Drosophila melanogaster: one gene and its partners. Changing the gene in region 1 together with any one later gene gives a genetic interaction. Each region holds a gene or a part of one and is shown in the gene's direction. Other genes may lie near its edges.

What was found.
Region 2: of Smox (region 1) and CG13083, changing one suppresses a phenotype caused by changing the other (phenotypic suppression), as found in Drosophila melanogaster (one study listed by BioGRID).
Region 3: of Smox (region 1) and myo, changing one suppresses a phenotype caused by changing the other (phenotypic suppression), as found in Drosophila melanogaster (2 studies listed by BioGRID).

Annotation. Positions count from the first base shown.
Region 1 is NC_004354.4:8,140,143-8,144,607, reverse strand, and holds the start of Smox (smad on X), read left to right. Parts: upstream 1-2,328; 5' UTR 2,329-2,972; intron 2,973-3,690; 5' UTR 3,691-3,925; coding exon 3,926-4,465. Other genes in the region: alpha-PheRS (Phenylalanyl-tRNA synthetase, alpha-subunit), read left to right, coding at 1-609; CG17982 (uncharacterized protein), read left to right, coding at 1,087-1,992.
Region 2 is NT_033779.5:19,485,205-19,489,425, forward strand, and holds CG13083 (uncharacterized protein), read left to right. Parts: upstream 1-2,285; 5' UTR 2,286-2,319; coding exon 2,320-3,173; intron 3,174-3,230; coding exon 3,231-3,327; 3' UTR 3,328-3,487; downstream 3,488-4,221. Other genes in the region: CG13084 (uncharacterized protein), read left to right, coding at 1-693, 753-1,192; CG10194 (uncharacterized protein), read right to left, coding at 3,604-4,008, 4,096-4,221.
Region 3 is NC_004353.4:693,556-698,020, reverse strand, and holds the start of myo (myoglianin), read left to right. Parts: upstream 1-1,965; 5' UTR 1,966-2,324; exon of another isoform or gene 2,325-2,683; 5' UTR 2,684-2,807; intron 2,808-3,604; 5' UTR 3,605-3,631; coding exon 3,632-4,465.

The DNA of each region.
Region 1 (4,465 bases):
AAGGTGCACTCTGTGGGTGGCTATGGATCGAAGGGTTACGGCTACGACTGGAAGCTGGAGGAGGCGCAGAAGAATCTACTGCGCACGCATACGACGGCCGTGAGTGCGAGGATGCTGTACAAGCTGGCCAACCAGGAGGGCGGCTTCAAAGCAGCCAAGTACTTCAGCATCGACAAGGTGTTCCGCAACGAAACACTGGACGCCACACATCTGGCGGAGTTCCATCAGGTGGAGGGCGTGATTGCAGATGTTGGTCTGACGCTGGGCGATCTCATTGGCACGCTGTACGAGTTCTTCAGAAAGCTGGGCATCACGCAGCTTGAATTCAAGCCGGCGTACAATCCGTACACCGAGCCCAGCATGGAGATCTTCTGCTATCACCCCGGCCTGGCCAAGTGGATCGAGGTGGGCAACTCGGGCGTCTTCCGGCCGGAGATGCTGCTGCCCATGGGACTGCCGGAGAACGTGAATGTAATCGCCTGGGGTCTGTCGCTGGAGCGACCCACCATGATCAAGTACGGCATCAACAACATTCGCGATTTGGTCGGACCCAAAGTGGATCTAAAGATGGTGGAGGAGGGCCCCATCTGCCGGCTGGATCATGCTTAATACCTTAAAAAATCAATAGGACCTGCGATCAAATTGCATTTTTTTTCACACATGAATGTTCCAAAACATATTTATAAATAAAAGTTCCGCCACAGAAACTGGGTCTATATTGATAAGGGAAATATAACATTTGGCGAACCATTTTTGTATTTTCCCTCCAAACAGCTGTTGTTCAGGGTTGTCAAGTGCAGCCGATTTATGCTATCTGCATTTTAGGTTATTGTTTGAGGGAAGCATATCGGGTTTATAAAATTCGGAAAATTTTTAAAGAAACTGCTTAGAGTGAGAATCCTAAAATATGTGAGAATAATAAAAACATGTTTGACAATCAGTCAATCAGTTGAAACTATTTGACAACTTTGCCACAAAACAACGTCAAACGAGCGAAGAAAACAACAAAGGAGAGACGCAAAAAAGAAGAAAGAAAAAAAAAAATAAACAAATTCGTCATCGTCGCTGGAGTTTGGGCCTTGAAAAATGGCAAGCAATCCGAAGAAGTCCCTCCACCAGGCGATCCAGGCCGAGTTTGGTCTCCAGCCCACCAGCGATTTGTCCAAATTGAGCAGTATAAGTGGCACGAGCCCAGAAGCGATGCCAAAATTCACAATTCCGCAGCTCAAAATTCCACAGCTTAGAATTCCACAATTGCAGCTGCAGACGAATGCGGATGCCGCTGCCGAGCAGGAATACCGCCGAGAGGCGGAGGCACACAATCAAATGCTACTCAATGAGATCCAGTTGAGGCAACGGCAGCGATCGGAGGGCGAAAACAAGCCGCAATCAATGGGATTTGTGTTACCCCAACTGGTCGCGATGCCCAAGGAGCCCCTGAACATACCCCTGCTGACAAGGTTGGAGAGCGGCATGAAGAAGCTGGATATAGGCGATGGGACAAAGGTGAATACAGCCACGTCAGCACCCCCACTCATTGACCTCACGTCCACGATTATCGCCAGGCATAAAGGCGCACCGCCCAAGGAGCTGGCCAGCAAGGCGCGCCAGTTGACCAATTGTGAGCCTTTTGCCATACCCTTCATTGCCTGCGATCGCGGAAGAAGGAGCACGACCGGTGTAACTCTCTTGGCCAGCAAAAGATCCATCAACTACGACGAGGACGTGCTGGCCGATCGGTCACCAGCGAATAGCGACTACCGGGAGCAACCGGGACCCATTGGGCTCATGCTGGACGAAATGGTGGGCTATCCGGAGCCGAGAAAGCCCCGTCTAGTGTACGCCGTCACTCCGCTGGAACGGCAGCACCTGCGAATGTGCCAGTATAAGGATTACGGCATCCAGGTGAAGAGATTCCGCTTTGATACTCCCTCGCCGGATGAGCTCGTCAAGCAGGCGCTGCAGAAGTCCTGGCGCTTCTCCCGCACTTGACTCCAGTTCATCCTGGTAGTTGACAATTACCAATAAGTGAATAAAAACAAAAAATCCACTACGTTCAAAAATAAAAGCTGTCTGACTTGATTCTTGCAGGGAGTTGATATCACCCATCGATTTAGTAACTAATTAGTTGGCCATCCAATCCCATTCTTTTGTGGCGCAAATATATTTGCGAACAAGTATATTTATGATTTTAGTATTAAAATATGTAACAATATTTATGTTGTTTATATGAATTTATCAAAACGATCATTAGAATGTTTTCACGCCTTATTTTATTTTGAGCCGTGGCGTCGAAGCTTATTCGCGTTTCAGCCAACGGTCACACTACACAGTCGGTCACACTATTGTTGGGCAGCAAGTCTGGGCACACTGCAACTTTGCGAATAGCAAAATCGCGAAACGCAAAAAATTATATTACTCCCATAAAGCACAATTCGAACGTAAAGTGAACTACTAACGTATAGAAAATAAACACAAAGAGCATAACATAAGAACAAACAACAAGGAGGCGTTTAAATATTTATCAAAATAAGTTCTCTGTTCTTGTTGTGCCTCTGTGTGTTTGTGTCTGTGCGCTCGTTTAACTGTGTGTGTGCTCCTTGCGTGTCGGTGTGCGGTGCCTGTGCTTTGGTGTGCGTGTGCGTATAGCTGTCACTTTCTGGCGCGCACACAAGATATATACACACAGAAATTTGAAGAAGCGGTGCCCACCACACGGCCCCCTCCCCGTTCCAGACAACCATCAACGCCACCAGCACCACCACCACCACCCCCTCCTGTTGGCGCGGCTCGGCTCGGCTCGGCTGGATGTGTGCGCCCGGTTCCGGTGCCTTTTGGTTACCGTTCCCGTGCATCTGGACCTGGAAGCAGTGTGTGCGTGCGAGTGAGCGGGCACGATAGAAGTTGAAAGAGCAGGCGAAAGGAGCAAGAGCAGGACGACAGAGGAGCTCGAGTTGCCGGTACCGTTACAGGTAATATTTATATGTGCGAGACACTCGGCGCAAGTGTGTGTGTGTTAGGTGGGGGTTGAAGATACGGATACAGATACATGGATACATTCCAAAGCGGCTGTATGTGCACTTTTCGCTGTTTCCCCAATGCACATTTAATTACTTATTTATTTTTGCGTTTAACTCGATCGTACCCCTCTTGCCGGCGACGCTCATGTTTTTTGTTGTTGTTATTTTCGGTAATTTATTGCCCCGCCTTCGATAAGATGGAAAATTCCAAACTGCCCACAGATTAGGCGTGTGTACATACATACAGAAATATACACACATTCTGGTTCTGTTTCTGTTTTCTGTGGCTGCTGTAACTCAACGAAAGCAAAAAAAAAGCGTCTGCAAACGCAGACATTTGACCTTGTTGGAGACAATAACAACAAGAATAGCAATAACAACGGTAGTGAAAATAGCAAGAACAGCAACAACCCACGCAGACGATTGCATTTGCGATTGTCGTTTTGGAAATGGAAAATCTAAATTGAATCTTTCTTTAGAAATCTGAATGTGAATCTAAGGCAAAAGTTAATAGATTACCCATATACACACGCTCGGGCAATTATCACAATAACATCGTCATCAGGGTCGAGCTTTTATCAGATCCAGCCGCTCACGCACACACATGCAAGCCAATTATCAGGTTTTAATTGCCAAAGCACGCACAACTAAACCCATTCCACTATTCCAGATCAGAAGTGCACAAGGGAAGCAGCAGCAGCATTAGGACTGTTCCAGTTCCACTTCCCAGTCCCGTTCCAGTATTCCAGAGAAGGTGATCGAAATAAAACTAAAACTAAAACTCGACCAACGCCAGCAGTGAGAGCAGTATTCAAAAGGCAACGCAGAGTTGGAGGAGGAGGAGCTAGTGGACGCGGAGGACACCAGGAAAGCCCAGGAGAACTCCCCCCCCCTGAGACCCTGAGATGTTGCCATTCACCCCGCAGGTGGTCAAGCGTTTGTTAGCACTCAAAAAGGGCAACGAGGACAACAGCGTCGAGGGCAAGTGGTCAGAGAAGGCCGTCAAGAATCTGGTCAAGAAGATCAAGAAGAATTCGCAGCTGGAGGAGCTAGAGCGCGCGATCTCCACACAGAACTGCCAGACGCGGTGCGTGACGGTGCCGCGCAGCAAGCCAGCTCCCGCCGGCGAGCATCTGCGCAAGGGTCTGCCGCACGTCATCTATTGCCGCCTGTGGCGCTGGCCCGATCTCCAGAGTCAGAATGAACTAAAGCCCCTCGATCATTGCGAGTACGCCTTCCATTTGCGCAAGGAGGAGATCTGCATAAATCCGTACCACTACAAAAAAATTGAACTGTCCATCCTGGTGCCCAAATCGCTGCCCACGCCGCCCGACTCCATTGTGGACTATCCGCTGGACAACCATACGCACCAGATACCCAACAACACCGATTACAATGCGGCGATCATTCGCAGCGCCTCGTTGAGTCCGCCGCAGTACATGGAA
Region 2 (4,221 bases), on another chromosome or scaffold:
TTCTGGAGGTTGGCTCCCACAATCTGGTGGCCACCCTTGAGAACCTCTCTAGGCAGGGCGAGGAATACGGCAATCGAACGGAGTCAGAGCTCCTGGAATTGGTGCGTCTGCAGGAGGGCACCAAGGAGATACTCAATGTCCTGGAGGCCAAGCTGGATGCCTATCAGAGGCACGTGCTCCATAGTTCCCGCAACATTGACAACAGCATCGACGGACTGGCCAAACTTATTACTAGGACGGTGTTGCCACAATTGAATGGGCTAAAGTGTACCTTCGATAGCTTGGAGACGTCCCAAATCAACGTGGAGGTGGAGCTGAAGAACTTGGCCGGAGTCAAGGAGCTCAGCGAGAACTCCAACTTCAAGCTGAACGTGCTGGAGCATCAATTGAAGCAGCTGAATCGCACTCAGGAGCAGCGCTTGGACATCCTAATCGATGCAGTCAAGCATTTGCAGCCCCACAGTTCCTGGAAAGTGGAGGCTGTTCTCCGCGAACTGATCATCTCGCAGAAACGCATCGAACTGGGTCTGGAAGAGTGCAGCCGACAACAGCCCTATCCGCAATATGGCCATCACGACGAGTCCTATCTTCCCACCTACGGAGCTGAGGTCCCAGAGCCGCAGCATGCTCATCCTAAGCCCAAGCAAGTGGATCTGGAACAGGTGTGGAGCATCAAGGAGGAGCCCAAGCACGGTAAGTGGTCCTTATTGCCACCAGATTAGGATCACAAATTAATGGCTTGTCGTTCATAGGAGAGCACTCTGGAAACCACAAAGCTACCGCCTATGCCCAGTCCCCCGAGCCAAAGAAGAACTATCAGAGCTCCAGCGCCGTGTCCTGGCGGCAGACGGTGCCGTGGGAGTACGGATCCCCATACCAGTCCGCTCCAGTTCACCACCATCAGCCATGGAACCCAGCTCCGGCCCACGTTCCCACCTCCGTTACCAAGCCCAAGCCGTGCCCCAAGAAAGAGCACCCTACTCCGGCATCCTATGTTCCTTTGCCACATGACCAGCCTGAATCCTACAAGCTTCCTGTGGATTACAGTCCCAAACCTAACCACGAGCAACCTCATAAGCCCCACCACGAGCCACAGTCTTACAATGAGGAGATCTACAAGCCACAGCCCATCCAGCCAGGAGAATCCTTCAGGATTTGGTATGGAGACAGTTCCCTCCCCCAAGGATACTAAAGGAAGATTTAACTGGGACTACCACTGTTACTGAAACTGATACAACTTTTCAAAGCATTTAACAAACTCTTTTTTTTTAATTCAGATTCATTACTTTGTACAATTTTTATGTTTTATAAATAAATAAAAAAAAAGCAAAGGAAATACATTTTTGATTATATTCCTAGCAAGTAATTAATAAATAACTTTTGAGAAAAAATGCTATAGTTTCATGGAAATCATATGCATCAACTTTTAGCATCGTATGCGAAAATATACATTCAATTTCCAAAAACTTTTCTCAAAATCTATTCAAAATATACGAAGAAATTTTTGTTATTTTGTATGTTTTGTAGGTAAATAAATTCACCTTACTATTAACCTATGCTATTGTTTGTTGATAGAAGCAAATTTTAAAAATATTTTAAGCTTTTTTAAAAGTTAATAGTAAAGGATCCAAGTTTGTTTAAATTTGCAAAAGGCATCTTGGCCAATTTTTGAATAGGCATGATAATATGAAGGATAATTAATTATACTGCTGTTTTCGAAATAGGAAACAAAATATAGACTTATTAAACTTTTACAAAATTACTTTAGTTCGCTTTATTACTTTATTTCTTGTAAACGATAGACAGTATGCCCGAAAACATTTGTTACGTTATCATTACCTTCGAAGACCTATTTTCTGAATGAATTTGAACAAGAAGCAGCTGGGGCACGTTTTTCAGTGGTGTTATTACTACCGTAGCACACAAAAAACCGGGTCAATCTGTTCTGTTTAGAAACAAAGAAGAATTTTGAAACGTGACACTACACGGATTTTCCCTAACTTTACCAAGATGTCGATGAACCAATAACTATTTAGTACGACTACATGCAACATAATTCGCTTTAGTTCTTTCTTTTTACAAGATGATAAAACAGTTGTTCGCGACTATCTTCTTAGTAGTAGGGAAATTCTCGTAAACACACTATTACAGATTGGAGCAGCATTTGCACCTGCACCCGCTGAAGAGAAGTGGGTGGTGACCGAACTGATAGAACTTAACCCAGTCTAAGACACGTTTTGGACCTTAAGTTGGGCTACTTAAGTTGCGGTTCGGATCGAAAAGAGACACTCAGCGGGGAGCGGCCATCAGAGAAACACCATGAGAGTGCGACTGACTTTGCTAACGATATGCATTTACCTATGCGCGGCTGCAGCTGAGGATCTGGACTCCATCCATGAGATCCGCAGTGAGGTGGAGGAGCTGATCAAAGGTACGGAGGAGCTAAACCATGGGCTGCAGAAAGTGAAGGACGTGCAGAAGGGCATTGAAGAGAAGTTCAAGCATCAGCGCGACGAGATCGAACTCATTGCTGGATTGGAGGTTGCCATAGCCAAGCTGGAATCGAACGTTCAAAGCAGCTTCCAAGCCACGGCCTCTGGAGTGGGAAATTTGACAGCCATTGTTAACGCAATCCAGGGTCAGAATGAAAACTCTATTAGGAATCTTACCAAAGTGGAGCTAGAAATCAGGAAAGCCCTGGAACAAGTGGCTGCCAATCAGAACAAATACGAGCAGAACCTAAATGAAGTGGCCTCATCCGTCAACTCGCATCTGTCGGAGATTCAGCAGCTGCTATCACAGGCCGTCATAGGGGAACTCATCGGCTTGGACAATAAAGCGAAGGTCCTCCAGGAGCAGCAGCGCAACATCGTGGGTCAAGTGGGATATCTGGGCGAACTTAAGGCTCTGGCAGATCGTGCCAATCGCAAAGTCAATCAATTGGAGTGGGGTCTGGTCATTCTCAACCGCACTCAGTCCGAGAGCCTCAACAGCATCGAGCACACTGTCCATGGAGTGCAGGTGGCCACCTCACAGGTCGATCATAAACTGGCTGCCCTACTGAACAATCAGAAGAACATTGAAAGGACGCTGGATGGCTGCAAGCACAAAAATCCGTCACACCAGAAGCCCCACGAGATCTGGACTCACCCGGAACACGCACCAATTTACAAGTAAGTTTGTATGCCCTACTTCTGGGTGCACACTAAAACCACTCTTTTCATTTTAAGGCCAAAACCAGAGGGCAATCAAGGATACGAGAACGTCTATGCATCCCAAGAAGAGGCTGAATACCTATACAAACTTTGGTATGGAAAGGGCCAGTAGCATTAATACGAAAACTGAAGATAGATGTTTTATGCCATATTCAGAAATTGCTTGATTTCCTATATCAAATCCCAGCATGTCGATTCTATCTATCTTATATAATTGTATATTAAACCGTTCTGTAACACAATGTAATAAACAAGAGTAAATGGAGGAAATCGAACTTTATAAGTTGTATATTGCTAAAAAGTGTTATGTCCAACTTTATATATCAATTGTTGGAAAACTTATAAAACTAGATAAATGCACCTGACATAGAGGAAACCGGCTCTACCTCTATAATTTTGTTGGATCCAATGGATGAACCTGACCATCATCCCGCTCAAACTTAATTATCAGCTGCGACTGATGCTGGTTCCAGTGCTCCGATCGATGTAATTTAGCATTCGTCTTCGAACGGAATTCCTCGACTGACAAATCGATCTCAATTTTTTCGTTACTTGCATCCGGATCGGCGGGGTAAGCATCATCTCCTGGCAAGAGATGCACTAATCCATTTGTACACTTGTGCACTACAGGATGAATCAGCTGAATGCCTTTGACCTCACGCTCTGCTGCAAACTGACGCAGGTTATCTAAAGAGGAGAAGTTTAGGCAGCGCGAAAGTTCATAGAATTGTGGAGGCGGCAGCCAGAGTTCTTTTCTTAGGCTCGCTTGAAGGTAGTCCAATGGGGAACGCCACTACAATAATATAAATGATAGTACATTAAATGCAACTTAAAGGTTTCGCGTATCGCTCTTGTGCCGTATAATATCCCACCCACCTACCGCAGAATCCTTGACCTCATTAGGTTCGATGTGAACCCTGGGTTCCTGTTCCAGGGCAGTCATAAAGAAGGCCGTCTCGAAGCGCTTCTTAAACGTGGACGGCGTGCGCCAGACAGACCACTCGTG
Region 3 (4,465 bases), on another chromosome or scaffold:
AGCCTTATTAAAAAACTTTCGGATCATAATTATTTCGACTAATATATGTACTACCTGCAATAATAAGAGGGCTTTTGGGAAAAATTCACACAGATGGGTTTAGTTAGTAGGGAATAATATTTACAAAATATACATACATATTTATATTACGAATGGTCGCACATGTATCCTGATTCTTTTATTAGATATTGATTGTCACACATTTTCTTCGATTTTCGGATGGGGGAAAAACAGTATGTGATTAAACACTAAAACGAACGTTCGTACAATATTGTTTATGCAATATTGTTTATATTTTCTGTGTATTTTGGTATTTTGTAGTATCGATTGGACTTCAGCACGCATCTGCTCGTATCAGGATGGCAACTCTCGGCGTGTAAAAATACAAACGGCAACTCTTAACATATATAGAAATCGATATGGCAACCCAATACCAGTGATTGCGTAGAGAATACGTTATTTTCAAAAATTCGATGCAGTAAATAAATAAATTCACAGATATAAGAATGATAATTTAGCAGACCTAAAGAATCGGTCCATTAATGAGCTATTAATAGTTCAACTAATCTACTCGTTGAAAATGTTGTGAAAAATATTTGAAAGCCAACTAAAGCGTTTCCTATTGTTAAACCATTGCAGAGCGTATAGTGATTTCTGTCAGAAAATTGCAACGTAGTGGAAATAATAGAAAAAAAATTATAAATTCTTGTTTTTGATCAGGAAGTATTTTAGTTCTGTATTTATCGGTTGAATGCGTGATCGCCATTTTCGTAATATTAGGTTTATCGCACGATTACCATCTATATGTGCGTAGATGAAGGAAAATTGACGCACTTGTTGAAATTATTTTATTTAAATCTTTATTATAACCAAAAAAAAATCGTAAATTGTTAACCACAATGGAAAAAATAAGTAGCTTACAATCCATCCAATAAATAATCTCTTATCAGTTACTTTGTTGATACATAAAAGAAGTCTTCTCCATTTGAATTGCTATTCTTAAGTAAAACAACAGAATTGCTGATACAAAGCAATAAAAATAAGTTAGTACAGTGTGAACACCTATCGTTTTCTTCCATATCGATAGGAAACTCATAAATGTATGTGTGGAAAGGCTTAAACATCTGTACGGGCGTCGATATATCGACAGCTAATCTGGAAAACACTAGACATCGCGGTAATTGTCCCTACCCTTTTTATGGAGTTCCCAGATTGCCTTCTTACACAACCATATTAATGGGCAATAATTATATAAGAAGACTGCGGAACAAAGGGGACCCGCACGAATATGTACTTGATTTAATATAAGTTTCTTTTATACACATAAAATTATTTTTGCATACTTATGTAAGTGCGTTGGGTACTTTTTATTAATTCCAGAGTAACGACATTTTTGCCGTTAATTTAAAACACGAAATGTTAGGACAAGAATGCGGAACTTCGGTTAAATTTTAAAAATTCCTTTGTATCAATATAGTCATTCCAGTAGTACAAATTAATACGCATGTAATTTTTGTTGTATAATAGCACTCAATTTTGTGTAATAAAAAAAAACAACTAGGGAACCAAAATTATAGAGACAAATCAAATCCTGCTAATAAAAATATATCTTATATAGTTTCTTCGGGTCTATTTGAAATCTTTGAAATGTAAAAATGTCTACACTCATAACTTATAAGAGTTAAAACGGCTTAAGGATTAAATTGATTTACAATAGAAAGTGATTATTAGCGACAGTGGAAATATAAATAAAATGTTTTCTAGAATTGTAAAAAAAAAAGTAGGAGTATATTCAATAAATATTTCATTTTAATATAATGCTATTTTGCTCGATAAAAATGTTAATATGAATTAAAGTTTACTCTTGCAATGCGTTTCAGCAGATACATTTTTAAAAGCGGCCTGTTATGCCAACTAAAACGAAATTGCCGGTGAGCCGTATGTATCCGATCGCATCTGATCAGCTGCTTTCAGTTCTACTTCGTCGCTCAATCGCACAGCAGTACAGAATCTCTGCGGGTTTTCAAATATTGGTTCTCTATGAGAAATAAATTATTATTATTTAGTGCGCAATTGAATACACAATTTTTTCAAACTATGTGTTTTTGGACAATGAATAATAAATTTAACAAAAGCGGATTGCAAAAGAATAATGTTCGAAACCGTAGGCCCACTGTTACTTCAATATAAAACATTTAATAATATATACTATACATATATTAAAACACACAATTGCCTAGTTTCAAAATAGATTTTGGTTGTACAAGTGTATAAAAATAAAATAAATACCGATAGATAAGTATATATCTACTTATGTACAATTGGTAGGTGTTTAAAAAGTTTGTTATCGCTAAATGTACATAACTTTGTACATACACAGCTTTAAAAATGTACATATGTGCTTATATGCATGCTATTTATTCTGTATGTATGTATAATTTACGTATGTACATACATATGATATATCTCATTTACGTTGTTCTGCTTGTAAAAGGGGAATAATGCACTTTCAGCGATGAACTGAAGTTCAAGAGCACAATAATTTATTATGTTTATAAATGGTTTTAATTGAATACAATAGTGGTCATAAAGAGGACTCATGTGAAACGTTTATGAACGGGCTTTGCATATGTGCATGTACATATGTAGCTTGAACTAACTTTTACGACTGTGTGCACATTAGGGTGGTCATTTTCTGCTGGCGCATCGCGCTTCCAAGGCGGATCAAACAATGCAGATATGATTTTTAATTTTTAAAAATCATTATATCCGGTGCTGCAGGATTTTATACTTCTACTATATTCAAAGTAAGTTTTTTCGTAGCCTGAAACAAGTTTTTGAAGGTTATTATTCCGTTATTCCGAGTTTTAGAATATTCACGAGCACACAAATCAAGTGACGATCGCAGCCTCACCGTGCCGATTTGTGACGAAAAATGGTTTTACAATTGTCAGTGTTTTTTCCTAAGCTTTATAGCCATAGAGCCATTTTTCCCTATGGCAGGTATATAAGTGTATGGTCGTCTGATTTTGATCGATTAAAAACCTAAATTATATATTTTCAAAAAAATGTGCATACTGAAGAAGAACTCTTTTTATTTGAAAACAACGAGTCTATAATTTTTTTCAACAGTTAGCTATATGATATGATCGTCAAAAGTCTATCAATTTAAAACCGAAATATTATATTGTCCAAATTTTGCCAATAATTTTAATATTTTTGAAGTTAGAGATCGTCAGTGGCGTAAGCTATTCAATTTTTTTTTTTTTTTTTTTTTGTATTGACTCGCGAAGGGGAATCATTGACTTCCGTGCTAATGCTTTAATAGGGTTTAAAGGGGTGCGCTCTTCTTTTTTCTCTGCACAGCTGTTTAAGGTATTACCTTGGGAATCCGACTTAATCGAATACAGCAGGGGATTATCTAACAGCTTGTATTTCGCGATTTGATTTTTAAAAAAATTGTAAAATAAGGCCAACAAGAGCCAAGTTGATTGGATGACAAGATCACCAGCCGCTGTCTCCAAAAATAAATAATAATTATTATTTTTATTTTTTCTTATTTTAAAATATATCAAGTATATTTATAAATACAAGTCCTTTTCAGCATTCATCAACGGTTTGATCAAAAATCATGCTGGCCAACTCATGCTGCGGTTGGAGAAAATATAAAACCCATGATCAGCATCATAGAACCCTAAAGAAAAAAACTCGACAGAACACATCAGATACAACAGTTCACATAGAAGTGAACTCCAACGAAATCCAGTTTCCAGGTTCTTACAGATTTAATCTTGACTCAAAAAAAATAAATATCGGGCGAATGAATATTCTTGGACATAAGAGAGGTAATTTCCGTGTAACTCGATATGTCACGGTCACCGTACTCTTAATTTTATCGACTGCAGTCAATGCTTATGCTCAGCCAGAAAATAAAAGCTTCAGTAATTCTTCCAACAACGATAGTCCGGAAATGGTTATGTTGAGTAACGAAACAAACAATAGTGCAAAAGTACTATCAGAAAAAAATGGTTCTTCTTCAATATCGGCGGATGATAAAATAAATGAAAATATGGGAATATTCCAAATGAAAGTACAAAGTAAACCGGGGAAAAAAAGTACCCCTTTAGCAAAGGTATCAGAGCATGGAGATTTATCAAGAGTTCAAAGTGTATCTTTGTATCGCAATACCTTAATAAATATAGAAAGTATGCTACAGCGTCAGTTGCGTGAGAAAGCCAAAGTGGATAGTATAGAATCGATTAAAATGCACATACTTATGCGCTTGAATTTAAAAAAACTTCCCAATATAACAAAACCAATTTCAGTACCACAAAATATAATAGATAACTTTTATAGAGATTATAATGCATCTTCAAAAACTACTGTTTGGAATCGCATGGAAAGCATTGACGAATCTCATTTGTCTATAAATGACACTTATGGCGACCACATAATGACTGATTTT